2 linked regions of the Oryctolagus cuniculus genome follow. The protein of the gene in region 1 interacts with the protein of each later gene in a pairwise test. Links are inferred from orthologs where the notes say so. Each region holds a gene or a part of one and is shown in the gene's direction. Other genes may lie near its edges.

Region 1 (5,820 bases):
ATCTTGGCAACCAGATAGAAGGGAGGCTGCTGGGTGCCATGGGAAAGGTTTTCGTCCCTAGAAGAAAGAGGTACAGGACCAAATTGTCTTTTTTGTTCTTATTCTGCTTTGCGTGGTGCTGGATTAAGGATGTAATACCTGGAGGTGTAGTAGCCATTTTGCAACTTTAGGGCAATGAATACAAGTATGAAAAGCCAGCCTACTGAGTAGGATGGGAGAGGAAAGATGAAATTGACACTGCTGAGTTACTGAATCAACTCCAACTGCTGACTTCTAGACTTAAGTACCTAGACTTAAGGTCTTCTATCTGCTGGTTCACTCCCCTCATGGCTGAGCCAGTCCAGTCAGGAGCCTGGCACTCCATCTGCATCTGGAATGTGGGTGCAGGGCCCAAGCACTCAGGCCATCATCTGCTGCCTTTCCAGGAGCATTAGTAAGGAGCTGGGTCAAAGTCGAGTAGCCAGGACTCAAACCTGCCCGCAGAGCAGGAGGCAGCTTAACCCGCTGTACCACAATGGCAGTCCTGCTGGTATTTATTTTCAAAAGTGGGCATCAATCAGAGATGTCCTTCATGAAGGAAAATTCCAGTGGGCAGCGGGGCTGGAGAATAAAAAACCGAGAGTGCAGGGAGAAGAGAAGTGCTGGGGATTGCAGAAGTCAGGAGCGACCCCCCGAGGAGGAGGAACCCGTGATGGCTGCCTGAGCTTTGAAGAAACTCTTCTCGATCTTTTTTTCCCCAGGTTCCCACTGCCATTTGTATGCATTTCTAATAGAGCAGAGTGCCAAATAGAACATGGATTTTGTGGGGTCAGTCCTGGGTTCTTCCTAGCTGTGTCTATGTGAGTCTCAGCTTCCTTATCTGTGAACTGGGGATAATTCTTACTCATACTTCAGATGGCTGTGTTGAGGACTAAGTGGAAGTCTAGGATTGTGTCTGGCACAGGGTAGCTTCTCAGTAAATGTCTTCCTCTTAGGTCAGGGGAACGCTGCCCTATCCCCTGCCGGGAGCACACGGGGTGCCGTGCTTGGGTGGCCCTGAAAGCTAGTTGTTCAGGTGTGGTGTAGGTGCTGTATTCTGGGATAAGCAGGACAATCACAGAGGTTGCTCTGTGTCTAAGTTCTCTGCTGGACCTGCCATTTTCCTAACACTTATTGAAGGGGTAGCTTGCACAATCGTGAGAGTGGGAACTGGAGCTCCGAGTGGAGACAGCAGTCTCCAGGTCCAGCGAGAAATGAGCTTGGCTGCCCAGTTTGGTGTGCAGCCTCTGGAGTCAAATCCATGTGGATTTAAATCCTCAAACTTGTACAACTGTATGACACCGAGGGAAACTATTTCACCTCTCAGCTCTTATGAAATAGGAATAGTATTATTTATAGGACTGTTAGTACTAAATGAGTTACTACTTAGTAACACTGACAGTGTAGTAAGCACTGTCAAATAAGGATATAAATATAATGCTGGTGATAACCTTTCAGGCTTCGTATGCAGATTAAATGAGGTAATAGATCAAGTCAGCCAAGTGTCTATAAAAGCCATTTTGGGGGCTACCGTTGTAGCACAGCGGGTAAAGCTGAGGCCTGCAACAGCCAGCATCCCATATGGGAGCCAGCCAGTTCGCGTCCCCGCTGCTCCACTTCTGACCCAGTTCCCCTACAATGGCCTGGGTAAAGCAGCAGAAGATGGCCCAAGTGTTTGGACCCCTGGCACTCCCGTATTAGACCTGGAAGAAGCTCCTGGCTTTGGCCTAACCCAGCCCTGGCAGTTGCAGCCGTCTAGGGAGGGACCCAACAGACGGAAGGTCTCTTCCTCTAACTCTGACTTTCAAATGAATAAACCTTAAAATCATTCTACTAATTCCCACGATATTTAAAAAATAAACAGTAGCCATTTTCATGTCTGCAGACCCAAAGGTGAGGCTGTTTAGAAAAAGGGTGGAGCAACCTGTGGGTTGGCGCTCTGTCACAGCCAAGGAGAGGATGTGCAGGGGACCATCTGGGACCCGATACGATCAGTACAAAGACGTCCAGGCGCCACCGCAGCGGCATAGGCTCCGACAAATCGTTCAGAACTGGGCTTACGAATCAACAGTTCTAATCAAGTCCGCGCCTCGCCGGCAGCCTCAGTATCTCGGGCAAGAGATGCGGGGGCAATCCGAGGCCGAGGTGGCTTCCCGAGTACCCAGCGTCGCGCACAGCTTGCAGCCACACAGCACACACCGCCAGGAGGAGCCTCCGCAGCTTCGCGGTTCCGGGTTCGCGCCCCGTCGCGACACGTGACTCACGTCCAGCACCACGTGACCCCCACAGCGTCCCCAGCGCCGCCCCCGCGCTCTCGAGCCGCGCGCTGCTTCCGGTAGGGGCGGAAAGCGGAAGTGTGGGAGGGTCTGCGGGGCGGGCCTGGAGAGGTCCCGGGGAGGATGGAGTAGTGCGCGGGGCTGGGCGGCTGCCGGCAGCGCCATGGAGACGGTGCAGCTGAGGAACCCGCCGCGCCGGTGAGGGGCCAGGGGCCAGGCGGGGGGGCATGGCGACCGAGTGAGGAAAAGGCGGGAACTGGCTGAGGGGAGACCCCTGTGTGGGCGGGAAAGGACCAGCGGGCGAGGTGACCCGGCTGATGGGGCACCTGCTGGGGTGGGAGGGGGACGTCTGGCGGGGGGGGGGGTCCGACTCAGGGAGCGCCCACTGGAGCGGGTAAACGGGGGCTGGCCGGGGAGGGGGGAGCACTCGCTGTGCGGGACTTTGCCGAGGAACGCGGCGCAAGTTAGGGGGAGCCCCGGCTGAGGCCAGGGACCACTCGGGACAGCTGTCCTAGACGGGGCTCGCGGGGGTGACGGGGAATGCCCGCCTGGGAGCAGGAGGGCCTCCGAGGGGTCTGGCTGAAAGGCTCGATCGAGAGGGAGCAGGGAGGAAGCCCGGGCCCTGAGTCCCGCCGGAGGGGCGCAGTCCGGGGGCGAGCCATTGGGCGGAAAGCTTTGCGAGTGTGGCCGGGGAGGGGTCGTGGCGGCAGCGCCTGGGGGCTCCCGGTGGTGCCCTCGCCCTGGCGGGATGCTAGCCAAAGTGCCCTCTTAGTTTTTTTCCCGCATCCTTTGAAGCCCTTCGAAATCCAGCGTTAGCATGTCGGTAAGGAAGTAAGAGGATATTTTCCAGGGTGGGCAGACTGAGAGCCAGAGGAGTTGAGACGCATGTGTGTTCGCTGTTTTTGCTCTGAGTCACTGGAAGCTTCTGTGGTTTTACCTGGGATGGCTTTAGGTCAAGAGCGGGGAGGTGGCTGGCGCTGGGTGCACGTGTAGGGCTGATTTCCCTTGTGGATACCCGGGTCTTAGGCCGTCCCGCCCCATCTGGCGAGAAGCGGGGGGCAGAGACCCAGAGTCTGCTTCTCTGGGGTGCCCGTGGCGCTCGCTTGTTTCACCGAGACATCTGACTTCCTGTAGCAGAATGAGCGCTAAAGTAGGAAGTGCTCCGTGTGTGAGAGTGTGGGGCAACCGAGAGGTGAAGAAGGGAAGGGACGGACAGCCCGGGCAGCGCCCTTGGGGGCCCGCATCTAGAAGGCAAGTAGGCGGCTCGGAGGGGCTGGTGATCCCCTGAGTGTCCTATGCTGAGATTGTAATAGCAGTGCCTAGTATTGCGCCCAGCGCTCAGGGGGTGCCCGGCGCCGTTTTAAGTGCTTTCCGTTTGATTCTGATCATTTTTGAACATGAAAATGGTAATTTCATGTGGTTCAGTTTCTTAGTGACAGGTTGGATCTTCACAGTCCCATGAGGCAGGTTTTCCTACATGCCTGTTTTACAGATAATACAACGGAGGCATAGAGATGCTGGTGATTTGCCCGAGGCCCCTTATCGTAAGAGGCAGAGCTGGGATCCTGGTATCCAGGCGGTTTGGTCCAAAGTCTGCTGTTAAAGTGCCTCACTGGAAGCACCCCTGTGTCACAGGTCCTTGTGTGTGTTAACAGGTGCTCACTCCAGCACCATAGTGAGCCACTTACAAATGTGCACTACTTACGCTCCTTTCTGAAATACATTCGTTCCTTCTCCTTGGATTCCTTCTCTGAGACCTTTGTTTAATTGAAAAGAGGATTAGGGATCTTGAGTTTTGCTTCTCCCTGTGCCTTTGATTATATAATCTTCGGGCAGAGGAGTAAATCTTTTTGCTTTTTGACATGCTTATTCTCTCTCTCTCTCTCTGTTTTTTTTTTTTTTTTTTTTTTTTTTTTTTTTTTTTTTTTGACAGGCAGAGTGGACAGTGAGAGAGAGAGACAGAGAGAAAGGTCTTCTTTTGCCCTTGGTTCACCTTCCAATGGCTGCCGTGGCCGGCGCATCACGCCGATCCGAAGCCAGGAGCCAGGTGCTTCTCCTGGTCTCCCATGGGTGCAGGGCCCAAGCACTTGGGCCATCCTCCACTGCACTCCCTGGCCACAGCAGAGAGCTGGCCTGGAAAAGGGGCAACCGGGACAGAATCCGACGCCCCGACCGGGACTAGAACTTGGTGTGCTGGTGCCGCAAGGTGGAGGATTAGCCTGTTGAGCCTCGCGCCGGCCAACATGCTTATTCTTGTACCTTTTGGATTTAAAAAATGTACTAAAAGTGCAAGAAGAGAGCATTGCAGGACTGAGTTCTTGAATGACTGTGTCTCCTGCTCATGACTTGGACTTCCTAATTTGCAGCAGGTTAATAGATTTTTGTTTAGTTTTTTAGGACTGCCTTTTATGAGGTATCATGGACGAGCTGTTTTAAGCAGCAGAAAGTTATTTTCTCATAGTTCTGGAGGCTAGAACTCAGAAGTCAAGGTTTTGGCAAGATGGTTTCTTTTTTTTTTTTTTTAAATTAATTTATTTTATTTGAAAGAGTTACAGGGAGAGAGAGAGAGATATCTTGATCAGTTGTCTATCTGCTGGTTCACTCCCCAGATGGCTGCAACAGCCAGGGTAAGACCAGGTTGAAGCCAGGAGCCAGGAGCTCAATCCAGGTCTCCCACATGGGTGTTCGGGGCCCATATACTTGTATCACCCTCTGCTGCTTTTCCCTGGCCATTAGCAGGGAGCTGAATCGGAAGTGGAATAGCAGGGACGTGGACCAGAGCCCACATGGGATGCTGGTGTCACAGGTGGCCTTAGTGCCAGCCTTGGGTGGTTTCTTTTGAGGTCTCTGTCTTTGACTTGCAGATGACTGTCTCCTCCCTGTGTCTTCACGTGGTCTTCCCTCTGCTGCTGTGATCTGGTCTTGTCTTACAAGGAAACGGATTATACAAGGATACTTCAGACATCTTGTGGGAAGAACTGCTTGGGGCTCAATGTTTTTGCACCACAGTAGACTTATCTTTTAGTTTCATTATTCATGAATTTGTTGAAGTACCCTCATGTTGGATTAGGGCCTGCCCATTTAACCTCATTTAACCATAATGGTATCTTTAAAAGCCCTTTCTCTATACATAGTCACATTCTGAAGTACTGGGAGTTAGGACTTAAAACATGATTTGGGATGTAGGGGAACACAGTTTCAGTTTTGTTAATTTTATTTCATCAATTTGTCTTTATTTCTTTTATAACCCATATCAGATTCTGTGTGGAAGGAAGGATGGACATACATAAATAAATTGAATCTTAGGGCAGTTGCGAGGTGGAAGAAGGGATTTGAGAATTAACCACGCCTGAGTGACTACTTGATAAATGCCATCATATAAGTGTCTTTACAGAGATTCGGATGGCGTGTGTTTCTAACAACCTGGATACAGGAAATATACTTTGTGTTCATGAGTTTGACATTTCTGTGTGGCTAAGTGGATGATGATAGATTTGTATCTTACCTAGGCACTGATGATTTGTAA
Region 2 (5,082 bases), on another chromosome or scaffold:
AGCCACGGCGCCGGCCATATTTGGGGTTTTTAATTAAACTTTGAAAGTCAGTTTTTCCCAGTGATTCCGTTTAGTGGTGCTCAGTGTTTAGTAAAGGACTGAGGTACCCTTCCTTCAAAAGAACCAAAACTGCAGTTGTTTTTTGTTGTCAGCACGTGGCAGAGATCTTTGGGTCCAAGTAACCAGACTTCAGACTTGACTTTCCGTTCATCATCATTAGCCCCACATTACTACAGAATTTTTATAGTTTACAAAGTATTTTCACAATTAATTACTTTGCTTCTCTTAGTAACTCTGTAGAAGTGGAAATGGGGAAGAATGCTTGAATACTGTCCTGAAACTCACATGAGTGTAGTAATAGCTGTTGGATTCTATTATGCTGATTCTTACACAGAACATTCATCTTACAGTGGCTTATTTAGTCCTGAGAAAACCATCTGTGGCATGAGTGTCTTGGTCCACTCTTACTAATCAGTATCCTGAGAATTAGAGAAGTGAAGCAGTTTTGCCCATATTCATACAAGTTGTAAGTGACTACATTGAGGCTAAAACCCAGACATATCTGACTTCAAGGTCTCAGTTCCTTCCAGCCCCCATATCATGCTATCAAAAAATATTTCCCTTTGAATTTAGTTATGAAATAAAAGTTGAAGATAAAATACATTGCTATTTGCACATTGTCTTTAAATTGTTAAGCATGGTGCATTCTAACCCTACTATAATCCGGTCTAATAATTAGTAACCTTTTCTGATAAATAAGCAAAACTTATATGTTTGGAGGCATACCCCTCCTGGTTTTGTCTCTGAGTCTGAAATAGATTATTTTGGCCTTCAGAATTCAACCTTTAATCTTCCCCTGTAATGCTCCCCTTTCTATCTGGCAGTTACTGCCTTCCTCACAGCACATTCAGGCTATTAGAATTAAGTGAAGCATGATGCCGTTTGTTTTGTTTTATCTCTCTGATTTAAAATAGGTTCTGAGGTATGCATTTGACGGTTGAGATGTCACTGGGAATGCCTGAGTCCCATAGCAGAGTACTGGGTTCAAGCTCCCTGCTAATACACACCATGGAAAGCAGCAAGTGATGGCAAGTCTTGGGACCCTGCCACCCAATGGGAGACCCAGTTGAGTTCCCTACTCTAGGCTTCAGCATGGCCCAGCCCCTGCTGTTGTGAGCATTATGGGAGTGGACCAGCAGAGGGGAAATTGTTTTGCCTCTCTCTGCCTTTCAAATAAATAGAATAAACAAATGGAAATTAGCATAAAATAGATTCTAATCAATCCTTACTACCACAAGTTCTCTTGTGGGGAGGGCGGTTCGCCTTACAGGTGGTATAAGACCCTTGAAATCATTTGATCTGGCCCTGCCAAGGCAGCCACAGGAGGGACTTGAAATTGTGTAAATCTACAGCAAGCTAATTTTAAATTGAAAATTTTGTATGGCCCACAAATGATTTTTGTCAATATCCAAATGGCTCTGGGCAGAAAAAAGATTCCCCACCCCTGTAAGTTGATAAAATAAAGAGGAAATACTGTGAATACTTCCAGCACAGAAACCACTCCCACTGTACTACATATCCTAACCCTTGTTTTCATCCTACAAGAGGAAGAAAGTATCCTTTCTCATTTAGAATTTACACCTAATTCTTAATTGTTACAAAAATATGGTATTCTAGTTTTAAGCCTGTTTGTAAGGTTACAACTTAGCTCCAACTTTTTTTATAGTCTCACTGAAGCTGTTTTTGAAAAGATTAAATACTAGCCAGAAGAAATATGTTAAAAATATGCAAATATTTTGTGTAGATTTATGTAACATACCAATTTCCAAAGGAAGGTGGATTTTATTTCCCTAGAGAATGATAAAGCTAGAGCTTAGAGGGCCGGCACTGTGTGCCATAGCAGGTCAAGCCACCGACTGCAGTGCCTGGCATCCTATAGGCACCAGTTCATGTCCCCGGTGGTCCACTTCTAGTCCAGTTCCTGCTAGTGTGCCTGGGAAAGCAGCGGAGGATGGGCAAGTGCTTGGGCCCCTGCACCCATGTGGGAGACCTGAAAGAAGCTCCTGGCTCCTGGCTCCAGCCTGGCCCATATGTCATGAGCATATGCGGAGTGAACTAGCAGATGGAAGGTGTCTCTGTTCTCTCTGTCTCCCTCTCTCACTGTAACTCTTTCAGATAAATAAAGAAGGCTAGACCTTTGCCATAGGAAAGTATCTTTTAGGTTGTGGAAGGAAGACATTTTCGGCAATAGGCACATTAAAAGATGCTTAGCTATTGTTTGTTCTCTATAATTTTCTGCTTAGATCCAGGGCCTTTTATCCTAATGAATGTCATTCTTCTTAGTGTCCCTCGGTATGATCAGCCTCCTCCCGTGACATACCAGCCACAGCAAACTGAAAGAAATCAGTCCCTTCTGGTACCTGCAAATCCATATCACACTGCAGAAATTCCTGACTGGCTACAGGTTTATGCTCGAGCACCTGTGAAGTAAGTGAATTTACAGCACACAGCTTTTAAGGGGTGAATAGAATACTGAGTAGAATCTTTGGACTGCTTGATCCAAACAGTGCCATGTTTTTCTTTAATTGAGCATCTAAGTGATATATAAGGATATCAGAGCTTATAAAGTGTAAAAGTTACTGATAAATATTCTATAAGCTTATGTGCATACCTCTGCTATTAGAGATACATTAAGAAGTTTAGGTTCATGGGGCTGGCACTGTGGCACAGTGGGTTAACTCCCTGGCCTGAAGCATGGCATCCCATGTGGGCACCGGTTCAAGACCCGGCTGCTCCACTTCCAATCCCCGCTGCTGCACTTCCAATCCACTCTCTGCTATAGCCTGGGAAAGCAGTAGAAGATGGCCCAAGTCTTTGGGCCCCTCCATGTACCCACATGGAGACCCAGAAGAAGCTCCTGGCTCCTGACTTCGGATTGGTGCAGCTCCGGCCGTTGCAGCCAACTGGGTAGTGAACCAGCAGACGGAAGACCTCTCTCTCTGCCTCTCCTCTCTTCTCTGTAACTCCGACTTTCAAATAAATAAATAAATCTTTTTAAAAAGAAAAAAAAGTTTAGGTTTTCAAAGGAGAGTAACATAATTAAAGGTAAGAGAAGTTGTGATAAAAGTGAGGGCCCAGGTAAGTCCTAAATAACGTGAGTGAGACAAAGCAGGATACAAGAATGTTGAAGAAGTAGTACAGAGCTGTGAGCTCTGGGATTAGGTGATCTGAGTTCACTTAGATTTTTTAACTTTGTAACCTTGGGCAGGGTGTTTGATGTAGTTTCATATTCTGTAAATTGGGGATAATTATAGTATCTGATCTTGAGATTATTAAAAATTTACTAAGAGGGGCTGGTACTGTGCACAGTGGGTTAAAGCTGCAGCCTGCAGTGCCAGCATCCCATAAGGGTGCTGGTTTGAGTCCTGGCTGCTCCACTTCCCATCCAGCTCCCTGCCAATGGCCTGGGAAAGCTGTGGAAGATGGCCCAAGTACTTGGACTACTGCACCTACATGGGAGACCCAGAAGAAGCTCCTGGCTCCTGGATTCAGTCTGGCCCAGCCCCAGCCCTTGGTGTCATTTTGGAGTGAACCAGCAGATGGAAGATACCTCTCTCTCTGTCTCTCCTCTCTCTCTAACTGTGCCTTTTAAATAAATAAATCTTTAAAAAAACATTTAATAAGAAAATGCAGGAGGTGATAGCTTAGGTAGTTGTGTCCCTGCCATCCACACAGGAAACCCAGAGCTCCCAGCTCCCAGCTCCCAGCTCCCAGCTCCCAGCTCTGGTCTGGGCCAGCCCTGGCTATTGTGGAGTGAACCAGCGGATAATCTGACTTTCATTCTCTGCCTTTCCAAAATAAGGAAAACAGTTTTTGATGAGCTTGGGAAATTCATAGCCATCTTTAAAGATTGAACTTGTGCACTTTCCTTTGAGCACAACTTTCCTTGCTCCACTCCTAATATTAAGAAGCCATTACTGTCCGGTGCCGCGGCTCAATAGGTTAATCCTCTGCCTGAGGCGCCGGCACCCCGGGTTCTAGTCCCACTTGGGGTGCCGGATTCTGTCCCGGTTGCTCCTCTTCCAGGCCAGCTCTCTGCTGTGGCCAGGGAGTGCAGTGGAGGATTGCCCAGGTCCTTGGGCCCTGCACCTGCATGGGAGACCAGGAGGAAGCACTTGGCTCCTGGCTTTGGATCAGCACAGCACGCTGGCTGTAGCAGCCACTTGGGGGGTGAACCAACAGAAAAAGGAAGACTTTTCTCTCTGTCTCTCTCTCTCACTGTCTAACTCTGCCTGTCAAAAAAATAAATAAATAAAATAAAGGAAGCCATTACTAAGGGTTTATGCAAGATAGCCAGTGTGCCGTGTGCTTTACAGTATACTACCTCTTTTAAGTCTTATGACATTAAGTAGGTAAGATTATTATCTGCCATGTTTCAATGGAGGAAAAACATTTAGATCAAAGTTCGTAATTTGCTCAGGGTCAGTCACTAGGAGTAGATCAAGGAGCCAGAATCCACACTCAGGCAGTTTCCTTCCAGAGTGATCTTCACCTTTGTGGTGTTTGTGTGTCATTAATAATAACAATCATTACTGAGCTCTTTAAGTACATTTTGAAATGTTCTTTAGATGCATTTTCTTACTGAATTCTAAATAACCAGGAACTATTACTATCCCCAGACAGCATCATAAGTGCTACACCAAACACCCACCCCTCATTGAGGATACTTAATAGAAATCTATGTGGTAGGTTGGCATTGTTCTTAGAATTATGACTAAGTGAAGTGTTTGCCTTCAGGGCTTTCGTTGGGGAAAACAGAAGTGGGTGCTGCTCAGATTAGTAAGGCAGTTTGATAATATTAGCAGTGGTATATACAAAGTGCTGTGATCACAGAAAAGCACGTGTTTGAAAGTAAATTATTCTTCATTGCTTCCTGTGTCCCTCCTTATCCTATACTTTTAGGTATGTAATCTTGTGTGAAGTTCCCCAAATCATATCCAAGTGAAGAAATAGAGGCTTTATCCATACTAAGTTTACACAGCTGTTAAGTTGTAGATTATGAATCTTGTTCTTTAACTTCAA

The links. The genes of interacting proteins can lie anywhere in the genome.
Region 2: the proteins of STK4 (region 1) and SAV1 interact in binary tests that used the Homo sapiens proteins (3 or more experiments, as listed by UniProt). The link is inferred for Oryctolagus cuniculus from reciprocal best matches to the Homo sapiens genes STK4 and SAV1.

Annotation. Positions count from the first base shown.
Region 1 is NC_091442.1:14,198,815-14,204,634, reverse strand, and holds the start of STK4 (serine/threonine-protein kinase 4), read left to right. Parts: upstream 1-2,353; 5' UTR 2,354-2,457; coding exon 2,458-2,492; intron 2,493-5,820. UniProt on the Homo sapiens protein: Stress-activated, pro-apoptotic kinase which, following caspase-cleavage, enters the nucleus and induces chromatin condensation followed by internucleosomal DNA fragmentation.
Region 2 is NC_091443.1:25,524,995-25,530,076, forward strand, and holds part of SAV1 (protein salvador homolog 1), read left to right. Parts: intron 1-2,343; coding exon 2,344-2,487; intron 2,488-5,082. UniProt on the Homo sapiens protein: Regulator of STK3/MST2 and STK4/MST1 in the Hippo signaling pathway which plays a pivotal role in organ size control and tumor suppression by restricting proliferation and promoting apoptosis.